Struthio camelus: one gene and its partners. The protein of the gene in region 3 purifies or fractionates together with the protein of the main gene of each other region. This does not show direct contact. Links are inferred from orthologs where the notes say so. Each region holds a gene or a part of one and is shown on either strand. Other genes may lie near its edges.

Region 1 (7,506 bases), on a different chromosome or scaffold from region 3:
GTTTGTAAATGCAGTAGGTGGCGGAACAAAGCACAGACATTTACATAGGACAGGTAAAAAAGGGAAACAAGGGGAAAGGATAAAACTAATGTAAAATTCTAGTACGTGTGCGTGACTGGGTTCCAGAAACGGGTTTGAAAAAAATCTTCCTAGAAGTGCAATATTTCCCATGGCGTAGCATGTCTACAATCCCTAGAAAAGGGAGGCTGAAAAAGCTGAAAATTAGGGCAAGGCATTTAATGCACATTAAAGCAAACAGTAAGCACAGTCTACAGAGAACAATCATTAAGATTTACATTGAATCAAAGCACTTCAGGAGACACAGTAAACACTCAGATGGCTATTCAACACTGTCATATCTAACAGTGATTCCACATGAATTACACACCAAATGAAATATCAACCGCTTCCTTACCAGGCATTACTCAGGTGTAATGTTTTGAAAAGTCAGTCAACCCGTCTTTAAAAACAGCATTTATTTGATGCTCTTAGCATTTCAAACCCACTGAGGTATGCAGCTGTCTTGTTAGAAGAGCAGACTGTGTGTGTGCGTGTGTGTGTGTGTGTCAAAAACCCAGCACCAGAAGGTACAAATCAGTTTCTACCCTGTGTTAGCGTCTGCTTTGATAGCTGGGCAGCTGTGAACAGGATTGAGGGATACATGCTTGAGATTCAGTCCCTGACTCCAGCGCCTGATGATGCGGTAGGTAACTTCGGAGTACTTCGCAAATGGTTTAGTCTCTGTTTCTGTAAATCACAGGAGTACTAAAGCAGATTGCTCTAATATTTCCACAGTGCTTCTTATTGCACTCATCTCCGCACCATTCAACCCCCGGGTACAAAGCTAGTACCAACGCACCAGCGTCTCTTTCCACCGTGACAATCCGGCACCTGCCTTTGCCCTCTGCAAATTCTACGCCCTAAAACCATCTCCTGCTTTACATTGGCACAAAACGTTTTGCGGAGCAACCCGGCCGTTCAAGAGTCAGATGATTCTGGGTGGAGGTGTGGGTCCCAAAAGTCAACTGGGAGCAGCCAACCAGATGGCATCCCAACAGCGTGGGAACGGCGGGATTCCTCCAAAACGCGCGGCCTCGGACATCGTCGCTCTTGCTAGCTTCTGTGCCGCCAGCCTACCTGCCTCCCAGACGGCTTACGGCAGCTCCCCGGCGCCCGCTCCGCCTCCTGCCCCCCAACCGCAGGGGGCTCCTGCCCTGGGGCGCCCCAGGCCTCCCTCCATCACAGCCGCCCCCTCCGACGGCCGCAGCGGGGGGGGGGGGCTCCCCTCACGGCCGCCCCCTCCGACGGCCGCAGCGGGGGGGGGGGGGCTCCCCTCACGGCCGCCCCCTCCGACGGCCGCAGCGGGGGGGGGGGGCTCTCCCCTCACGGCCGCCCCCTCCGACGGCCGCAGCGGGGGGGGGGGGCTCTCCCCTCACGGCCGCCCCCTCCGACGGCCGCAGCGGGGGGGGGGGGGCTCTCCCCTCACGGCCGCCCCCTCCGACGGCCGCAGCGGGGGGGGGGGGCTCTCCCCTCACGGCCGCCCCCTCCGACGGCCGCAGCGGGGGGGGGGGGCTCTCCCCTCACGGCCGCCCCCTCCGACGGCCGCAGCGGGGGGGGGGGGCTCTCCCCTCACGGCCGCCCCCTCCGACGGCCGCAGCGGGGGGGGGGGGCTCTCCCCTCACGGCCGCCCCCTCCGACGGCCGCAGCGGGGGGGGGGGGGCTCTCCCCTCACGGCCGCCCCCTCCGACGGCCGCAGCGGGGGGGGGGGGGCTCTCCCCTCACGGCCGCCCCCTCCGACGGCCGCAGCGGGGGGGGGGGGGCTCTCCCCTCACGGCCGCCCCCTCCGACGGCCGCAGCGGGGGGGGGGGGGCTCTCCCCTCACGGCCGCCCCCTCCGACGGCCGCAGCGGGGGGGGGGGGGCTCTCCCCTCACGGCCGCCCCCTCCGACGGCCGCAGCGGGGGGGGGGGGGCTCTCCCCTCACGGCCGCCCCCTCCGACGGCCGCAGCGGGGGGGGGGGGGCTCTCCCCTCACGGCCGCCCCCTCCGACGGCCGCAGCGGGGGGGGGGGGGCTCTCCCCTCACGGCCGCCCCCTCCGACGGCCGCAGCGGGGGGGGGGGGGCTCTCCCCTCACGGCCGCCCCCTCCGACGGCCGCAGCGGGGGGGGGGGGGCTCTCCCCTCACGGCCGCCCCCTCCGACGGCCGCAGCGGGGGGGGGGGGGCTCTCCCCTCACGGCCGCCCCCTCCGACGGCCGCAGCGGGGGGGGGGGGGCTCTCCCCTCACGGCCGCCCCCTCCGACGGCCGCAGCGGGGGGGGGGGGGCTCTCCCCTCACGGCCGCCCCCTCCGACGGCCGCAGCGGGGGGGGGGGGGCTCTCCCCTCACGGCCGCCCCCTCCGACGGCCGCAGCGGGGGGGGGGGGGCTCTCCCCTCACGGCCGCCCCCTCCGACGGCCGCAGCGGGGGGGGGGGGGCTCTCCCCTCACGGCCGCCCCCTCCGACGGCCGCAGCGGGGGGGGGGGGGCTCTCCCCTCACGGCCGCCCCCTCCGACGGCCGCAGCGGGGGGGGGGGGGCTCCCCTCACGGCCGCCCCCTCCGACGGCCGCAGCGGGGGGGGGGGGCTCCCCTCACGGCCGCCCCCTCCGACGGCCGCAGCGGGGGGGGGGGGCTCCCCTCACGGCCGCCCCCTCCGACGGCCGCAGCGGGGGGGGGGGCTCCCCTCACGGCCGCCCCCTCCGACGGCCGCAGCGGGGGGGGGGGGCTCCCTCCATAGCTGCCCCCTCTCTCCCCCCCCCGCCGTCTCCCCTCACAGCTCGCTCTCCCCGGCCGCCCCTCACCCGACTCCTCGTCCTTCTTGTCGAACTTCTTCAGCATGGTGCTTCTGGGTGGGTGGGTGGGTGCGAGCGCCCCTCGCCGTGCCCTGCCGTGCCCGTCCCGCCGCGCCGGTGTCGCTGTCGCCGCCGCCCGCCCCTTCCTGCCGCCCGCCCCTTCCTGCCAGCCTGTCACTGCCACCACCGCCGGCCGCACTGCGCAGGCGCGGCCCGCCCCGCCCGGACGTGGCCTCCCGGCTGGCCCCGGGCGGGGCGGGGCGAGGGGGGGGTGCAGTTCAGGGGGCGGGGCGAGAGGAGGTGTGCCCATGGAGACGGCGGTGATTGACAGGAGGGGCGGGGATGGGGAGGGAGGGGCGAGGCCTGATTGGCGGGGAGGAGCCTGGAGTGTGGAATGGGACTGGGACGCTGCGACTGGCGGGGGGCACACTGGGATAGGGGCACCGGGACTGGGGGCATTGGGACTCAGGGGGGCACACTGGGCTGGGGGGGGTATACTGGGCTGGGGGGGGCGCACGGGGATGGGGGCGCTGGGACTGGGGAGAGTGAGAAAGATGAAGAACGCCCCGCCGCGCCTCTATGGGCGGTGCTTTGCTAGAGCGCCGCCGCGCGGCAGGCCCATAGAGATGGAGCGGGGCACAGGGCGCGCCGCTGGGAGGGCTAATCTCCATGGCAACAGGAGGACTCCTTCGCCTCCTCCCCCCCCCCCCCAACCATCCCTCACCGCAGCCGCCATCACGTTCAGGCCTGCGCTCGGTGCCTTGAGAGCCAGAGCCGCGACGGCGACCCCGGGACCCCGCAGCGGGCTCCCTCCCTCGCCCCACAACCCCTCCAACAGCGGGGATCCCCCCTCTGCCTCCCGGGGTCCCCCTGCCATCTCCCCCAGAGCCCCTCGGGGGGGGGGGCAGAGCACGCCGCCATCGCAGCGTCGCGATCCCTGTCGGAGGCCGAGGGACAAAGTCCGGAGGTGGAATTAGCCCCCGGCATGTCACAATATCCCACAGCCAGGTGGCTGCTACCTGCGAGTCACGTTTGCAAACGTGTTTCGTTTATCAACAGCGCCGCGGGCTGCTAAGGGTTTGTGATTTTTTGGACTCTGGCTCCCCAAATCCGACTTTGGGAAGCGCGATTGAGTGCAGACCTCCGGCGCTGCGCTCACGCTCGCTTTACTGCCGGCCTCCGCTTCGCGTCGGGCTTTATCGTCCTGCCACCGTGACTGGGCGCACCGAGCTGCCGGCGGGACGTGTGCCCGGGCAAGGTGTGTGCGCAAGCCGCAGAAAACGGAGGTCAGAAGGGACCAATTTTATCATACGCTACCGGAGTTGGAATCACCAGGGCTGCTGGCACTACGCTTCCCCTCCAACGCATCCTCGCTGAAGGATTTACAGTGTATATATACGTTTATATATATACAGAGGGCCTCGAAAAAGCCCTGTATCGTTATTTTTTACTACTGCCTCTCCGGCTGGGGTGATTATTGCGCCTGCTGCCTTCCTCGGGCCTGCCAGCGGCTGCCCCACCTCCCCGCACAGCGCACACCACCCGGATCCCCCCACCCCCCGGGCCATTCCGCCTCTTCAATCTCTTGCAGATTAGCAAATTAGGCGCATCGACCCTGCCGCCGCGAGAGCGCGCCCGCCCGCGCCGCTCCGCCGCCCGCCGCCGCCGCCAACCAGCGAGCCGTCCCGGGGCGGCGCCGCTGCGCTCTTAGGGCCTGCGCGGCGCCGCCGTGCCCGCGGCGGCGGCGGAGGAGGAGGAGGAGGTGGCAGCAGCCATGGAGGTGCAGGTAGCGCCGCTGCGGGCCTGGGACGACTTCTTCCCCGGCTCCGACCGCTTCGCCCGGCCCGACTTCAAGGACATCTCCAAATGGAACAACAGGGTGGTCAGCAACCTCCTCTACTACCAGACCAACTACCTGATGGTGGCCGCCACCGTCGTCTCCATCGTGGGGTCAGTGACTGCGCGTCGCCCGCGGGCCGGGCCTGGCCCGTGAGGGGGCCGGGGGGGCCCGTGAGGGGGGCTGGGGGCGGCTCCCCCCGCGGCTGCCCTGATTTCGGAGCCAGGAGGCTCCCGCAGAGGCAGGGAAACGGCCTGTCGCCTTCTCCTCCTCCCCATCAACCGCCGGGCCGCCTCTCGTCACCTATAACGTTTCAAAAGCAACGCCCCGGTTGCAGCTCTCTTTGTGTATATGTGTCTGTTTATTATTATTATTTTACTTTTTTTTTTTTTAAAGGTGGGTGAGCGTTTAGAGTAGGGTTCAGGACGTTTATTTTATCTGGGGAGGGGGGGACAGGTGACAAATCTGAGAGCGATCGCTCTCCTCCGTTGAGGCTGCCCAGGCGGCTCGGCACAAACGTGAGAGCCCCAGGTACGGAGGGGTTTTTGCAGGGCATGGTATGGCTGGTAGAAAGCGGTGATGGGTTTAAGTGCAGGATGTAGCTGCTCTCTGAAAAACTAAATTGCATCCTCTGCAGTGACCTAGCACTTCCTGCTTAAATCTGTCTAAACTCTGCTTTGGATTAAAAATAATAATAATTCTGTTGTATGTTATAGTTTTACATTGATTTAAAGGGAACAGAATGAACTTCTCTTACTCCTGAGCTAACTCATATTGAAGAGCTTCAAATATGAAATGCATCAGGGTACACGTTCATTTCATTTGGGGCAGGGTGATGTGCTGGTAGTTTGTTCTCATCAGGCTCGGTTTTCCTAAAGAGTTTTGGGAAATCACCTTCTAACCATCTTTTGAATTAAGGCCTATGTGACTGTCTTTCGAGCGTTGCTCTAAGAGCTTTTTGACCCAAGATCTTACACAAGAGATGCAGCAGAGCCTGTGATGATTAAGCTTTTAATATGGAAGTAGGAATACATTTCCTATGCTCTCTGTAATGGGGGTAAATGCTTACACTGAAGGATTGCCCAGCCATGAGGCTGAAGTGGCCTTGGCAGCAGTGTATGTTGCAAAGGCTTAAAATACATCTTCTAAATCCAGTTTTTGTTAAACAAGTTGTATCTAGTTACAGCTTTTAAAGCTGTTGACCCAGACTCTCAATTAAGATGCTTTGGGTTGCAGTGAGGTTTTTGAGCTATTTTTTGTGAAAGCAGGGGCCCCAAAACACTGCATTTTCTTCTTAATTTTTGGTGGGGATGTGGTACAGTCAACTCACTAGATTATCAAAGTGGTAAAAAGAGGCTTCCATGCTCTTGCCATTCTTGCACCGCTATTGGTTTAAACTTCTGTGTCATCTGCCCTTGTTTAGCAGTGAGATATTGTAGCGAGTCCTAAATGACTAGGCAAAGCAAAGTGGTTCTGGAAAGCAAGGGGGAAAACTCATCTCCCCAAGGGAGCTTGGTGTGGTGGTGGGGAACAGTTTTGATATCCCTGGCTTGGAAAACTGAAATAGTAATAACTCTTATTCAGTCTTCTAAATTCCTTTCCCCTTCTGTACTCTCATCTCTTCTGTTCAGATCAAGTGTGAGGCCTCTCCTGCTTATTTCCAGCTCAATGTTTCTACCTTGCTGGGAGGGAGGGGAGGAAGGTGGAAGGGAGCCACAGGAGGTAAAGATTACTATCAGAACAACTAGCTCTTAATATTCAGTGGTAATGCACTGAGTTAAAAATTCTGGACCAAAAAACAGTTGGAACTGGATCTTAATCTCAGATTTATTCATTGTTTATTGCACTTCTTAGAGCCCTTGATATATGACAAATCTGATTCTTCTAACACTGAAGTAAAAGGGGAAGGGAGAAGAACTCTAAAGGGAGCAGGGTAACTCTTCAATAGAGGAAAAACTATCCACTGCTTCTATTAAACGGTTTTCACTTGGCCATATCATGGTTTTGGGAGAAAGGCAAAGAAAGTTCTTCTTAGTCATCGATATAAATTTATCAGTTGTAATCTTGCACTTTGTTCTGTACCGCACAGGAATTCCTGAGTGATAAATGAGGAATCATGACTTTTCAGGAACTCCAGAACTTTATGCAGGCCTAGGGACAGGATTATGCAAACTGCTAGTGCAGTGGTCGTCTTGTGATCAGAACTGTCTTGGCTCATAACCAACTATACCTGCTCTTAAACCGTCAAATTAGAAATACAGATGTGTAACGCAGAGATAATGTTTTCAGCATTGTAATAGCGTGGCACTTGTGGTGGTGCTGGGCTAACATAGAAAGTGTAGCCTGTAGCTTTCTTGATGTTGGAAGTACAGTGCTTATTGCCATGGTTTCAATTTACTGCCTCTCGTGCAACAAATTTGACATCTCCAACCTTTCACCCTCTCTCTACGAGGTATGGAATAACCTTAAGTGTAGTGGAATTTTAATACCTGCTGCATGGTTCCCTTGTCTCTCCCCTTCCAGTTGCTTTCTCTGATAGCTACTGTTACGTGTAAATGATGTTTGATGCTTTACCATCATGTGTATTGCTTTCAACCTACAGATGTAAGCAGGGAATAATAAGTCTGTGAACAAGAAACTAAAACTACTTCCTTCCTTAAAAAAGAAAAAACAACCTTTAAGAATGAGTCAGGACTGGGGTGCTCATTCTTCTTGCAACTCTGTTGCAATAGACCACTTTAGGGGGGGGGGGAATGTTACTAAAGGAAACTGCCCCTTCTCCCAGTTGTGAGGGCACTGATGATGATGCTCCATTCTTGCCTTGTCACTGTGAGTGCTGTACAGA
Region 2 (7,810 bases), on a different chromosome or scaffold from region 3:
CTCTTAATTACACAGTGCCACAGTAAATAAACAAAGACCAACCTACAGCTCTCACTTGGCACCTGGAAAAGTCTCACCTTAGCAAGGCAGTCACAAGTGAGAACACAGTACTACAGAGCAAACACTCCATTTCTCATATCCTTAAAAGCTGCCTTTCAAGTCGGACAGGGGAAGGTATAAAACTTCTTCCACACTGAAAATTATCAGAAACCAGCCCTAGGAACAAGCATTTGAGTTAGGAAGAAATGATTACAGTTACCTGGTTCAGCAAGTAAAGGATCTTGGTAAGTATGTGCAGGCATCTTCGTGGATTTATAGGAGTCTCATTAAAGATACGGGCCTACAAACGCAACATAAATCCTGTATTATGGCGTAACCCAACAATAATAATTTTCCCCTTTAGAACAGAAATTAAAGCAATTTGTTTTCAACCAAGTGGCTTACAATTTTTTCAGCACTCTGAACAAAGGGCAATGACTCAGTTCACCAGGCTCTAGCTTAATCAAGACCAGTGCTGGACATTTGGCATTAACAACAATATTTTAAAAAAAGTATAATTTAAAATTTTGCAATTCAGTTCTTTTCATAACGTCTACTGCCCAAACACTACTCAGCACTAGTTTGTGGGAACACTGAATTGAAATGATTAAGCTCGTACTTAACAGCACACCAAAGAACTCCCTAAATATTTAATCACACATCCATCTCACCACTTGCAATTACTCTTGGAGTACATAAAAAGAAGCAGGACGATCCATTATGAACGTTATTGACCCTTTATTATATTTAGTAATATGCTGAAGGATCACAGGAGAACGGGCAGATCAGCTCTTCAGGGGTACTTTGAGGGATCCTGTGTATCCACATGGAAGGGAGAAGCCAATTCCAATCCAAGTCCCGTGCATAAAACCCTCTCGTAGAGAAAATCACATGCACTTAATTTACCTACCCTATGAATTTAAACTAACTATCCATCAAATTTAGACATCCACGTTTCCTGCAATTTGCGTTATAATTCCTTCTTAAGCTGCTAACACATCCCTGATCACAGACAGTTAAACAATATTACATGGTGACTATTCGTACCTCCTGAAGCACAGCACTCTTCTCCAGGTGCTGGAAAGGATTAGAGCCACTACCTGAATAACAAAAGAGACCTCTCAGTTAGGGAAGCACACTTATCACATATTCAAGTAACTAGAAACAACAGCCCAGAACGTGCAGGAACAATCCCTAAGCGTTAGGAAATCATCTTACAAAAACGCTACAGTGACGTTACACCTTGAATAACTGATGTTCTCCAACAACAGCTTTCAACCTACTTTCTGAAGTTGTAGGTTAAGAGTTCCAGGAAAAAAGGATGACAGATTCAACACAGCTGGAGGGTTAGGAGGAAGGAAGGTCTTTACTACTAAAGCTATCTTAAGAGCCCCTTTACACTAGACTATTCACTCTTTTTCTTCCTAGACCCCCTTTTTTCATTTCATGCACAGACAGCACTGAACACGTCAGGACGCAGCAGCTGCTAAGCATCTGCAATAACAGTATATTGATTAAGGTAGCACTGAAAAGGGCTACTTGGCAAACTTCAAAAACAGTACGACTACTACCCATCACAAAATCCTCAATACTAGTCTAGCCTCACAGAGTAACTCTTCACGCTTTGTAACAGTCCAGACCCAGACCTTGAGAAGTCACCTGTCAGGTAAAAACAAGATCTGCAAAAGGACTTCAAAAAGATTTCGGAGATGAAAACACGACGTGAAGCCCAAATCCCTCTCTTTCCCTGCTGCAGGGGAACATAAGTATCTTCCGCAGTGTAACCCCGATACCCTGTTTCGGAGAACCATCTATACCCAAAATACAGCTTGAGTCCCTCCGCTGGAAAGTGGAGGGAAGTCTTTAGTTTAGCAAGAAAGGTAAGAGAGATTGTCTTCTTTTCGGGATCTGTGAGTAGAAGCCTAACTAAAGAGCTCTGAATGAATTCGCTGGAAATGACACTTCTCAGAGCCAAGCTTTCTAATCCAGGTTCAGAGTGAAAACACCTCTTGCAATCACTTTTATGGTCAAAAAAAGGCCTCTTGCAGCCCCCGGTGCTGCCTCTGGACCCTTTTCCTACAGGAAGTCCAGTTCTTACCCCCCGCCCCGAGCAGAACGAAATCCAGAATGAAATTAAACTCAACCCAACGGGGCCTTTTTTTTCCCACGCGGCATAAGAGATCTCTGAGCAGCAGCAACAGGCCACGGATACGGCCTCAGCGATGCCAGACAGCACCAGACGCCACACGCAAGCCGAACTTCATTCCCAGATGATTTTGCAGAGCGAAAACACGAAGCTGATGGCTTCACCCCCCCCCCCCCCGCCACGGTTCCCTCCACACACGGCATCAACGGCTCCGGCAGGGGAGGAAGGCTTCGGGCTCGGCCGGGGGAGGCGCCAGGCCGCCCCCCGTGGCCGTTACTCCCCCCCACCTTTCCCTCAGCGACCGTTATTCTTCCCCTCAAACGGCCGTTACCCCCCTAGAGGCCGTTATTCCCCCCCCTCAGCGGCCGTTATTCCTCCCCCTAAACGGCCGTTACCCCCCTCCAGCGGCCATTATGTCTCCTCAGCGGCCGTTATTCCTCCTCCCAAACGGCCGTTACCCCCTCAGCGGCCATTATCTCTCCTCAGCGGCCGTTATTCCTCCCCCCAAGCGGCCGTTACCCCCCCCCCAGCGGCCATTATCTCTCCTCAGCGGCCGTTACCCGCCTCCTCCCTCCCCTCCCCAGCGGCCGTTACAGGCCGCGGCGGGCGTTGGGCTCCTACTGGTCGCTCCCCTCACGGCTGGGCAGCCCCGACCCCGCCGCCAGCCCCGTACCGGCCTCCTCGTCCTTCTTGTCAAACTTCTTAATCATGTCGCCGCCGGTCGCGCGCCCCTCCCCCCTCCCCTCCCCGAACCGCACAGCCGCGGCAGCACCCGCCGGAAGTCCCGCCCCCGGCCGGGGGAGAGAGTGGGGACCCCCCCCTCAAAAAAAAAAAAAAAAAAAAAAAAAAAAAAAAACCTCACCCTGTGCCATCCGACTGGGCCGCGTAGCTGCCACTCAACTCCCGGCACCGCCCACTCCTCCTTGGGGAGCCCGGCGCGCCGAGCGGGGCGACTTCCGCCTCGCCTGGGGCCACGCCCCCTGCCGAGCGGCGGGGCGGGGCCGGACGGGGCGGGGCCAGATCCGGGGCGGGGCCAGAGCCGACGCCGGGAGGGGGGGAGGGGCGGTTTAAAGGGCCCGCGCCGCCATTTCGCGAAGCGTTTTGGGGAGGCGTTTTGGGCGCTGCCTCCCCTCAGCGACCCCCTCCCCCTCCTCGACTGCCAGAAATCCAATTTATTGACGCCACGCTCGGCGGGACGGCTCAAGGGGCACCCAGCGCGGGACGTGGCCGGGCCTGAAGCCATCGTCATCGTCGCTGGGCCCGGTTGCGCCGCGATGGCTCCCGAAGAGCGAGGGGAGGCGCGGGGGATCCTGCCGCGGGGCCACCGCCGTCCCGTGGGGTTCGCCTCGCCGCTCCCCCGGCGCCGGGCCTGCAACGAAGCATTGGAGGGGTCCCTCAGCCCCGTGCCAAGGGCGGGCGTCGCGCCCGGCCTGGGGGCCCCTCCGCTGCACCTCTTTTTTTGGGAGGGGGTGAGGGTAGAGCGTAATGTCATCTGCGCTAATCCTCTTTTTCCTTCTTGTGCCAGCTCCGGTAAACGGCGTTTTCAAGGCGTCTGAGCGCCTTTCTCACGGGGCTCGTGAGGAACCGGCACCTCCTGCTGCAGAAACCAGGTGAAAACAGAGATCTTGACTTAAACAAAATAAAAGACCCCGCTCGACTCTCGCTCGGATTTCATGCCGACTGGATTTCACCTCGACTGGATGGTGCGGTGGTTCTTCCCCTGCCGAGACGAAAGGGCGATCCCTAACGCCTGCTCGGTGAGAAGCTTCTCTTTCGTCCGAGCGGGAGGCAAGGAGGTGCCTCCCTTTAGGAGGAGCTCGCCAGTGAGCTTTTCTTCAGGCTTTCGTCCCGCCGAAGACAGCCCTGCTGACTTGCTGCGCTCGCGTATACGGAGCCGCCGGATCCCTTCGCTCCGCGCTCCTACACACCCTCATTTTCAGCAGCGCGCTCCCTGCTCTTGGTTACCTTCGAAGCCCTCGCCCTTGGCCAGCAGTCCAGCTGCTGCTCATAGCATTAAGAGGAGAAGCCCAGCTCTTCTCAGAAGAACTGAGGCAACGGGTCCGCCCTTGAGACTGGAGATCAAGCAGTACCGAGCAGGGGGCTTGGCATTTACAGAGGGGAGGAACGGAAAGGGAAGGGCTCTGCTGAAAATGAGGATGGGGGGTCTCCCACAAGTGCTATAGGAAGGGTCTGGATGCTAAATTAGTTCGAGGTGAATTAGGGGAGCGGGTGGAGAGGTGGCAGCGACTCTGAAGAAAACAGAGGATGGAAGAAAAGGAGAACGAAAAGGCAGCGAGCAGAGCCTGTCCTGATGAGGCATTCGAAGCACGCCGTGCCTTACCTGACCTTTACTGTTCTCATGCCTCATCAGCTAGAAACCGCTGGCCCGCCTGTCCATAAAACTTTTAACTTAATCAAGTTAAAAATAGACTCGTCAAGCTGAGGTAGTTTTCGCATGCACAAAGCTTTAGCTATTACACAGAGGTCTTCGATGCCGACCAGTGACATAAGGGACGATCCGTATGGCTCCCTGTGCTGGATGTGTGCAAGCTGAAATGCTGCGTTGGTCTAGGATGGCCACAGCTTTCCTTTGGGTGCCTGAGAGGTGTCTTCACTCACCACCTTTACCAACTCGACTGATCACAGCTTTGCGGTAGGTGAAGGCGGGGTGCTGGCTGGGCTCAACCCATCCCTCCCTCCCCTTCTCAGGGAACGGTGACTTTGCACCTGGCTTAGGGGGGGCTTGGTAGCGAAGCTGTGGATATTGCCTTTTCATTTGCTTCTCAGCATAGCTTTTCGAGAACCGTCCTTCTGCTTCAAAATCGCTGTCTTTGGAGAACCTAAGGTGCGAAACGAAAACCAGACTCGGTAAAGCAGCCCGAAATCCCCGGGATAGCTCTGTGGTATTTGGCTATGCCTCTGAATGCTTGTTAGCGGTAATTTGTGCTAATGACGAAATGAGCAGCCCCTTCTGTGGGTCAGGCAGAAGAAAGCAAGTGGGCATTGCAGGGCCTTGGGCCCTCTTCCTTGACAGGTCGGGTCTACGGCAGACTCTGAGACACCTCTGGCAACCCCAAGTACCAGAAAGGCTCCATAACAGCCCACCTAGGCATCCTTCTAAATCGGGGACCTGGGAGCACAGAGAGCACAGAGGGACTGAGGAAAACATATGTGCAAGATATACCTGAACGGAAGACGTTTCCCAGCCGTTTCTGCAGGAAAAGTCGCCTTTGGCGCTGTTGGCCCTTTCTGTTGTGTCTTCTGCAAGGGAAAGTGAATCTGACTCCTGGGAGAGGTCCTCTGCAAGAGAACAGAAAATTAGACCAAAGTAGATATGAGTTATTACTGCGTGGGGTTTAAAACGTCCACCTTAACCCAAGTGAGAAGTTCCTGGCACTTGTTCAGGGTAACATAAAGAGGTTTTGTACCAGGAATGAGGGAATTTGGATGAGCAGGGTGAGAAGTAAAAGCAACCTCAGTAACTGCTGAAGGAAGGGAAGCAATGGAGGCCAAACGTGCGAAGCTGTACAGAAGTCACGTATACAATCTAATGCAAACAAGTATGTTCTCCAAAACCACCATGTGAAGCCAGCTGAGGCATATAAGTAAATAATACTCTTTGAGTTGCGCTTAGTTGTGTTCTGGTTTGCTTTTTGAGAATTGTAGTTTCTCTTTGCTGGCACAGAGACTGAAGCTCAGCTTTGAAGAAAAACTAAAGTCGGTGTAATTCCTCAGCAGTGAGCACGGGACTCATCTCACCAAACTTCCTCTAGCTAAAAGTTAGGCATCTAAATCCTGCAGGAGATGGAGGCATTAGGCTCTGCTTTGACTGTAACTCCTTAAGCAGCAGGACCAGTTTTGTTGGTTCTTTTTAACCTGGATGTGTTTTTATCTGCATATGGCCAGGGACGGGCAGCTGAGCTGCCCAGCCATGGTGATGGCACAGGAGTGAGGGCAAAGAACAAAGATGGGGCAGCGTCACTGAAGTCTGTCAGACTTCAACCCTGCAGAGAGCCAGGACCAAACCCGCAGTCCTTGGGTATGGTTTTTTGTTATGTTTAGTACAGTGTAACTGAGGAGCGCCCCCGAAAGGCAGGTCCTCTTTCCAGCCGTGGCCGCACGCACTAGGTGACTCCCTTGGGTAGCGGAGCTAAGGGATTGGCTCATTGATCAGCGGGACGTGGACCCAGTGGGTAAGGTTTGATTTCCATCCGATCATTGACACGATCTGCATCGCCCCAAAGCCACGCAATCATTGAGCCAATGTTCAGTGTCTCCCTCCCAGCTCGCTCAACGTTACTGCCTTCCTCAGAGCGGTGCCTCTGGGATCTCTCCAGTCCTAAACAGACCTTCTTAATAGCCTAGACATGAAGCTCATTACTTGCGTGTTGTTGAACTGTGACATATTTTACCGTTCCGAATTGCTCCTTGGTGAAAAACGCTGTGGGGTTAGACTTCAAGTCAGGAAGAGGATTGTTTGTTGTGATCAGTGCTGTCTTGTCTTCATTGAACATTGAAGATCGGACCATGAGCGCCATGCATCTTCTGCAGCTATTGAGGTGGTTCTGAAATGCATCATTGGTGAACGGCATAAAGTCTCTCTGCGGTATGGGACAAAAGGGAGAGCTGCGTTAGAAGGGCCAGCTCCATATATCCGTCTTACAGTTGCAGAAGTAGGAGAAGTGCCATCCTGTACCAACCCTGGGTTGCCTGGGCCTGGTCTTTGCTGAGGGGACCGCCTGGAGAGACCCCTGTTGCTACCAGAAGTGCAAAGAACATAAGAAAAAGAACTTGAAATTTGCAGTGTTTTCTCACTCCAGTGGTTTCCAACTGGAGGCTGAAGCTGGACTGTTGAATCTAACAGGCTCTGATATCTCTCTCGTGCAGTTGTCTAGCTCATGTTTGAACCCACCTAGGTTTATCTATGGCAGCTGTTCTTCAGAGGAAACCATGTAAGGGCTTAGCTCACGTATGTGCTCCAGCTTGCCTGCTGCGGAGTAGATTTATCTTGGAGAAGCATCCCTTCACCCTTCATTATGTTGGTGCAATGACCTCCCCTGGGTGGCAGAGCAGGGAGGTTGATCCTGGCACCTCCGGACATCAATATAGGCTGCTACCACCTGAGCTGCGGAAAACAATGCCCCTTCTTGAGGGCAGTGACGGCTTGGGACGCAGCAAACAGAAGGGAGCGCTTTCCGACACCTTCCTCCAGGACCACTGGGCAAGCCCGTTTGCTTCTGACGGGAACATTTCCAAGGGAGACAGCGGTAACGGCTTCCTCGTGCTGGGTTTTAACGCAGTGGGGCAGACAGCGTGTTTGCCACCGAAGGAAATGACGATCCCTTCGCTTACCAGGCTAGTAACGTCAGAATACGCTTTTTCCTGCTGAGAGCAACGCTCTTCCATGTCTGCTGCCTCCAGCTATGAAAGGAAAGCAATGCGGTCCATTAACAGGGAAACCAAAGCCCGTGTCCTGCTAAAGGCGGCAGCACCGATCTCCGCAGCCACTTCAGCTGATAGGGTGGACTGAGCTGATAAAACCTCAAAGCATGATTCTATTTATAAGCAGTCTATAAATAGTTAAGTTATTAACAATTACTTAAAAAAAAAATAACAGGCCAGCGG
Region 3 (7,604 bases):
TGCATCACAGCCTCCCTTGGCAAATCAAAGACTGGCACAACTGTACCGTGAATCAGTTCTTTGAAGAACCAACCTAGGTGAAATTAATCTGGCAAAAATAAAAATGCAGTTAACTTGGATCAGTTCCCAAGCCAGTTCCCACACAGCTGTTTGAACTCTTGTGCTGGTAGAGAAGCAACAGCATGGAACCTCTTAGGCAACAGTGCTGACTTATGCCTACTTGAAGTAACTGTGACATGGCAACAAAACGTGACATAACAACAAGAAATTGTTTACTCTCTCTCTTATGGCAGAAGACTAGAATGAAAACATTTAAAGATAAAAATTTTAAGTATTACTTCAATTTAGATTAAAAAAATAAGTGGAGAAAACTTTGACTTTTCAGCCAACTGTGTCTACTTACTTATGCTTTCCACGTACAACTTTTTAACCACCAATCTAAAGGCTGATTCAAGAACATATTGGAGAGGCCTCCATACATGCAATTGTAAGAAGTTACTGCATTAAGATACTGTTAATGTTTTAACTGAGACATAATTACTGTTTCAGTTTGCCGTAATAATAATATAGAATAACTGGTCGATGTTCATTCCATCACAAAATACATGTTATCAAGCTTAGAATACAACTATTCAGCTTAAAGTACTAACCTAACTGAATAAAAGCAAAGTATTTTTCTAGAGACCAACAAAACGTCTCTTAAACTTTTTATTTTAAATATAAACGGGAACAAAAGCAGAAAGCAACTTTTAACTCATTTTACCTTGGATGGTCTAGCGTTTCAGCTTAGTCACAGCAGCACTACTAACATTTAGCCAAATTTGGGTGCTGAATGCGTTCAAGCTGACAGCTAAAGTTGAATCCAGATTTACTGTGCACCAGATCTAGAATTAGCCACATCATTATGCTCTCTCTCTTTTTTTTTTTTTTTTTTTTTTTAAAAGTTTTAAAGCTAACTTAAAGGAGAAAATCTCTGGGTAACCATAATGAATTATTTCTCTCTTCTACAAATTCATATGAAATCCTACTACTTAGTGACATACAAAGGAATGCCATGAAAACAAATCACAGAAAATGGTACTATATACAGAAATCACAAGAAGAAGATAGCTTACAGCTCCTGTAACAACCCAGTTCTTTCTTGCCACAAATTTGGCAGCTCTCACTGGCAGGTCACACACTTCAAAGGTCTTCACCAGCGTCTAAGAAAAAAAAAGAATTATATTAATTATTTGTAGTAATTTAAGATCCTTCTTGTGTATCTAGCATCAGAACATGTATTTCATACACAATAGAGGAAAAACAAAAACATCACCTGTGTTTCATGATTCCAAACGCAGACACTGCCATTGTAAAGGCTAGCCAACATCCATGGCTCTGTGGGATGCAAGTCTACGCTCTTCACCCGGTCAGACCGAGCAGTTAGTTTCCGCTTTATATCAAGTCGGAGAGGCTAGAAACGAAAAAAAGTTCACAATACCAGAGTTATTCCAACATAAATTCAACATAAAAACATCATGGAAGGAAAGGAAAGCTGAAGTTAAACCTTAAAACAACTGGAGCCAATCCTGCTTTTCAGAAAGGAGGCTACTTCTCTCTTATCTGCCTGTCTGCCTGTTTTTGTAGAAGTTTCTGAAAACACATCCCTACCAATATCAATGGGTCCCTTTAATTTACTTTTGTGAACGTTTAAGTGTTTTCTTACTGTAAGTAGTATCTACAGCACAGGCAAAGAAAAGATGCACCGCACAGCTCCTTACAAAGCTCCCTGATGTCCCTGAACTACTAAATCAGAGTTAAGAGAATTTGCTTCTAATACAAACATTAAAATACAAGTCTTCCTTCTCTTTCACTTGAAAATACAGGTGGAGAAGCTAGTTATCACAACTGAAAGAACCAATAATGTAACAACACTTGCCCATTACCAATTTGCATTCACCAAGTTCTTCTACTCTAACAAGTTTTCAGATGTAATACTATGTAGTAAAAACCGGTAGAAAGGAAAAGTTTAAGTCTTCCTATTAAAAAGGCAGGCTGTGACTTTCCACTTTCATCACTGGCAGTCTAATGCTAAAGTACCTAAAATTCAAAAGGCACGAAGTACAGCAAAGCGATTTTCTAAAACTTCTGAGGCACTATAACTTTGTCCAGACACTCAAAAACTGTTGAGTTTACTTAAGGCTCGTCAGCTCAAAAATAGCCTAAGGATTTTCAAGGGTGACGCAAGACGCTGTTGAACAGCATCTCATCTCAGAACCGGACGGGTCCTCTCTGATCGCTGAACACGTTACGTGCCTCGTCCTGAGTAGCAGAACAAAACCAGCAAAACCTGCAGGTGCGTGTGTTAGGCAGCATAAGGAGGAAAAAACACCTCGCTATCATGTAACCTGCAGTCATGACACCTGACGGCAGGGAACGAACTTGTGGTTTACCGTTTCTGCGATAAACACTACAAAAGCAGGCCAGACAAAGCGCATGCGATTCTGCCTTCGCTCCCTGAAACTTCTCTAACATAAGCGGCTAACGGTAACCTCCACGGCAGCTACTTCGGCAGCCGGGGGGTCTGCCCGCCGACGCCACCGCCGCAAGAGACGACCGGGCACCGACTCGCCCCTGCCTCGTGCCCGAGGGGGCCCCCGGCGGGCCCCAAACCGCCCCTCGGCGGTGGCGTTGCGCGGCCCCCGGCAGGGCGCTCCTCCCCACACTGACCCCCGCCTGCGCCGCTTCTGGGAGCGCCCGACACCACCTCCGCGGCCCGGCCCGGCCCGGCCTGCACCGGCGCCCCCCGCCGCGCCCCCCGCGCCGCGCCGCGCCGCGCTCGCCCTCACACAGCGGGGCCCGGCCCGGCCCGGCCCGGCCCGGCCCCGGCGGTGACCGCGGGCCCCCGGCCCCGCTCACCATCGCCCCGAGTGGCCCCGCGGCAGCGCCCAGGTGTCGCTCAGCCCCAGCCAGCCACCGCCGACCGACCGACCGACCGACGTGGAGCTTCCGCCCCGCTGCTCTCGCGAGAGGACCGGCGCGAGAGTTCGCCCCTCGCGATACGGCAGCAGCCCTCCCACGGCATGCCGGGACATGTAGTTGCCTCTCCCCCCTCCCGGCTGCTGTCGCGGGGCACGCTGGGAGCTGTAGTGGGCGCGGGAGCGGGAGCGGGAGCGCGCGCGTGCTGTCGCCTCAGAGCGGCCGTAACGGTCCTAACGGCTGCGGCGGCGTTTGCGCTGTGCGTGGCGGGCGCTGCGGTGGGGCCCTTACCGTCCTCAGGGACAATCCTTCGCGTGAGGTCCCCTCACGGTTAGAGACGGCGGTGGAAAGCCGGTGTGCTTTGCCCAAGTGTGAGCGACCCGGGGAAGAGAAAGGTCCTTTGGTCACCTTTGCCTGCTCAGCGTGGTCTCTCCAAGCACTTCAGGGTGGCATTGGCCAGAGGGGCTGGGGCCCGTGTGGTGAGCGCAGCGGGGCCCTGGAGCAGGCTGCTGGAAGGAGCCCAGCTGACCTCTCTCGGGCCGTGAAAAGACTTGATCTTGGTCAGTCCTGCAGACCCTGTAGATGTGAAACACTGCCTGGCAGGTTTTTCCTTTTATAAATCTTTTTGTCACCTAAAGTTACCCATGCTGTTACCCAAAACAGAGTGTCTTAGAAACATTATGGTGAATGTGAAATTTCAGGCAGCACCAAAACACGGGGAACCATCGCTGAAAAATTCTGCTCCAGCACTGTTTGCCAGATAAAAGTTCCATCTTCAGTTGAAGATTACAAGCCCCATTTAATTCTACAAAGGAGAGAAATTACAAGAAGGATAGTTATATTCGTTAGGTTTCCGTTAAAGAAAATGCTTACGATGATACAATTTAAGCACTCAGTTGAGAATTGAGAGCCCACTGTGCTCTATCCTACAACGCAGGAAGAAGGATTGCATTGCCCTGGAGCGCGCACGGTTTGATGGACATAGAAACAAAAGGGTGAGAGGTTACTTTACCTCTTGCTATTTTCACTCCAAGAGAGCAAAGACAGAAAGACAGATACCTAAAATTAGAAAGACACAGGCCTGATGAGTGAACGAGAAGAGAGATGCCAGAAGCAAAAGAAGGGTTGCAATGTTTTCAGCAGTTATGGGTGAGTTTAAGCTCATGTATACATGAGAACATAGAATTTCAGCTTTCATTTAAAGCCTGTTTATAGTAGTGATTGTGGAAAAATGCTTCAACACATCTGAGTACAGAATTTCAGGATGTAGAATCTAAACAAGCTTGCTTAAAAGTAATGATGTGAGTAAAATTTATGATTTTCGAGTCTAATTCATGGTTTTTAGACAGCTGAGGTGTTTGGAACAGGCTGGAACACTGAAAGAAGAAATATAGGGGAAAGACGTCAGTACTAGAGAACATAGGTAGTGGGGGTAGAAAAACACACATTGTATATTTTCCCTCGAAGAGCTCAACAAGGTCCTGGCCAGAGACAGATGAGGGTATTATAGAAGAATCGAAGATAGCAAGGAAGGTAAGTGACAGGTGAAGAGACAGAGCTAGTTAGTCAAGACAATAACAGCTGGGAAAGGAAGAAATTTGTTTGCTGTTTGCATCAACTCCTCCTGGAAAGTTATAGCAACAGAACTAAATTCAGAAGGGAGGCACAGGGACAAGGATGACCTTACAGTAGGAGAGAAGCAATGAAAAAAAAATTTCTATACTATAAGGATATGGAATGTCTGTCCCAGCTATTCAACACAAGGATACCAGTTCTGACTCAAGATCATGATCCACAAATTGCTGTAAATTAAATGGCTATACAGAGGAGTATTATTTTGTATACGCTTTTCTTTCATGTTTTTTCCCTCTGTATCCTCCTTATTAGCCATTATTTCACCTGGGTGATAGGCAAAGTGACTGCAACAAGCCCTTGGGCCATCTCTAAAAAGACATTCAATAGAAAAACATTTCTATTGAATGATAAGAAGAAAATCTCTACTCTGAGTTCCTTTATGTGACCCAGCAGCCATTCTTATGCCTATCTGTTGAGAGAAGTTTTTCAGGTAAGAAAGCACACAAAATGTTTCCTTCCAAAAGTAGTAGAACAGAGGAAACTTTGCTTCTTGTGGATTTTGTGCTGCTCTTAGGTTTCCCATTGCCCCTTTCATACCCCAGCTTCTTTGGCTAAGTAAGTAACACTTGCAGCAGCTTATTTTGGAGCAACGCGTACTCTGAACAGTTGGCTATTCCCTCATGGTCCTGTTAAAAGTCTATCATTATCTTTATTCTGGGAGAAGTGCACTAATTTGGGTTTATCTTTCTCTCTCTTTGTTATTTTTGTGGCTACTCAAAACCTTTAACACCATAGACAGGGAGAGGGAGGAGGAGAGAATGACTCTTACACATCAGCAAGAGTGCAGTCACGGGCCTTGCTTCCTTAAGAAAACAGGGTAAAGCTGTCCGAGAATGTTTACAATGCAATGGCTAGTACCATTCTACAAGTTTGTTGTTTGTAGAAACACAAATTGCGTGTCTGTAAGGTGTGGATGTGTGTCTATAATAAAGGAGTTGGTAATATGGAGTTGCAGGATACACATTCTGTATGAGCAAAGCTACTAGTAAATCTCTTGCAAGACTAAACACAAAGCATTAGAAAGGAATTTTCTTGTTTTAAAAAGTGTGTTCTATATAGCTGGCTAGCTAAGTGCTGGCAGTTGAAGCAATTACATTCTGACACATTAAATTCTTTAAAACTAACAAACGTATTGCAGTCCTGTGATAGTGGAATTTTGCACACCTTCATTATAGGTGATTTAGTTAGAAATACCGCAGCTATAATGGAATTACAGCAAGAAGTGTAAAATTAGTAAGGAGGAAGTCACTACAGTGGTGTTTCAGCCTGCAGGTAGTTTCCCTCTGTACAAGACTCCTGTTTCTCGGGATGGCCAATCCATTATTCCGTATGTTTTGAGAGAACTCATCTTAGATCCTTTTGGCTATGAGATTATTGGCAACTTTTGAATTTGTAAGGCAAAAGAAGTCTTCTAGAAGCAGGATAGAGCATTTTGAGATACAAAATTGTACATCATTGATCTTCCCAAGAAAACAATTAAAGTAGTTTGGGGTACCAATCACAAGCACCTATAGTTTCTCCTCAGCGTACCAAATGAATTTTAACAGAGAAGGAGAAGGCTAAACATGAACACCGGTGCATTTAGTTTCTCTCTCAGCTAAAGAGTAGAGGTCTGCAGATAAAGTCAAATCTAGCTCCAGTGCATGGAAATTGATATTCAAGCAAAAATCTAACAGGTGTTCCTAGCCAGACGCAAACTTGATTTAATAAATATAGTGTGTGCTACTGCTTGTTCCAGTAGGTAACTCAGTCTTGAGAGTCTAATGTTTCCCTGCCTTGATTGTTCTACCCAGGAGACCACCATTATTATGTAAATTCTCATTCGTTTCTCCAGATTTCAGTGATAGCTTATATTCTCTACAGAGTTATGTAATGCCTCTTAGGATCACTGTTGTTTGCTTTGGATCACAGTTTGCCAGCATCTCTGAGTTTGACTGATTTTATTAGCTGGAGGTGGCATTAAGGATTGCTTACTAATTTCCCAAATATTCTGAGTTATTTTCTAACATGAATCACTACATTATTCTCACTAGATCCTTTCTTTTAGAATACACAGAGGCTTTTATGTAATTGGGTCAACGCTACAGTATAATGCAAAGTGTTTATTTCATATGCAGACTTAGTGTGAAATCTTGTTTATTTGCAAGGGTTAGTAGTTGCAGTGCAGTGAACTGAAGTAAAACTCATTGCAGCGTTAACTAGGAGGGTGATAGGACTAATGGAACACAGTGTGTTTAAAGAAAGGGCATTATTAACATTTAGGTGGCAAAGCTGGGAGACAAAGCCCACTGTAAATCTGAATTAAAAGCTTCCTTGAAGCTGTATGATTTCACTTTGTTGCAGATCAGGGATGCAGCGTTCTTACAGAATATTGTTTGTCTCTTTCAGTCTAAGGTATCCAGCCTGTGTCTCTTCGCATGCTCATGGGAGCATACTAATCTTGGATACATTCATGACTCGTATAGAGAGATCAAATTATTAAACTCACTAAGATAACGAGGAATTAAAATACCAGTAAAGAAATCAGAACTTCCAGCAGAACTGAAATAACTGTAGGGCTCATATCAGAAAAAGCTAATATCCCTTTCTCTAAAACCCAGCTACCTACCAGTGTGGTAACAGTAGTGGCCCAGTTGTGCATAAACTGATGGTTTCAGATGTTAGCTGTTGCTTCAAGTACAATAATATACAAGCTGCATACAAAGAAAAGAGATACTGCAGTAGGTAAAGAAAGGATTGGAAGTTTTATATGTGAAGCTACCGAAAATAATATCACCTGACACTTTCATTGCAGGCCTGCCTTTTCGATGTGTAATTCTGCCAAACTTCAGCCATGTGGGTTTAGATTTGTTTGTACTGAACGTCTGCATTTGAATAAGGGACCTCTGTCAGCTTGTATTTTCAAGTCTCAGAGATAGGTTTAGTCATTTTTAAAAGGTGTTAAGGGAGCACAAACTGCCAATTTCCTTAAAATCAGCAATAGGATAATCATTAATGCTATTTAGCAGCAT

The links.
Region 1: the proteins of COPB2 (region 3) and COPG1 purify together in Homo sapiens (co-immunoprecipitation; 8 studies listed by BioGRID and IntAct, counting the BioPlex papers as one, with this or other methods). This does not show direct contact. The link is inferred for Struthio camelus from reciprocal best matches to the Homo sapiens genes COPB2 and COPG1.
Region 2: the proteins of COPB2 (region 3) and COPG2 fractionate together in Homo sapiens (co-fractionation; 4 studies listed by BioGRID and IntAct, with this or other methods). This does not show direct contact. The link is inferred for Struthio camelus from reciprocal best matches to the Homo sapiens genes COPB2 and COPG2.

Annotation. Positions count from the first base shown.
Region 1 is NC_090955.1:6,908,263-6,915,768, reverse strand, and holds the start of COPG1 (coatomer subunit gamma-1), read right to left. Parts: upstream 3,001-7,506; 5' UTR 2,871-3,000; coding exon 2,834-2,870; intron 1-2,833. Other genes in the region: ARL6IP5 (PRA1 family protein 3), read left to right, coding at 4,599-4,774. UniProt on the Homo sapiens protein: The coatomer is a cytosolic protein complex that binds to dilysine motifs and reversibly associates with Golgi non-clathrin-coated vesicles, which further mediate biosynthetic protein transport from the ER, via the Golgi up to the trans Golgi network.
Region 2 is NC_090942.1:2,040,160-2,047,969, forward strand, and holds the start of COPG2 (coatomer subunit gamma-2), read right to left. Parts: upstream 3,001-7,810; 5' UTR 2,896-3,000; coding exon 2,859-2,895; intron 2,293-2,858; exon of another isoform or gene 2,215-2,292; coding exon of another isoform or gene 2,184-2,214; intron 1,140-2,183; coding exon 1,087-1,139; intron 341-1,086; coding exon 260-340; intron 1-259. Other genes in the region: TSGA13 (testis-specific gene 13 protein), read right to left, coding at 4,797-5,025, 5,370-5,485, 6,598-6,777. UniProt on the Homo sapiens protein: The coatomer is a cytosolic protein complex that binds to dilysine motifs and reversibly associates with Golgi non-clathrin-coated vesicles, which further mediate biosynthetic protein transport from the ER, via the Golgi up to the trans Golgi network.
Region 3 is NC_090950.1:9,825,713-9,833,316, forward strand, and holds the start of COPB2 (coatomer subunit beta'), read right to left. Parts: upstream 3,002-7,604; 5' UTR 2,902-3,001; coding exon 2,899-2,901; intron 1,454-2,898; coding exon 1,316-1,453; intron 1,203-1,315; coding exon 1,116-1,202; intron 1-1,115. UniProt on the Homo sapiens protein: The coatomer is a cytosolic protein complex that binds to dilysine motifs and reversibly associates with Golgi non-clathrin-coated vesicles, which further mediate biosynthetic protein transport from the ER, via the Golgi up to the trans Golgi network.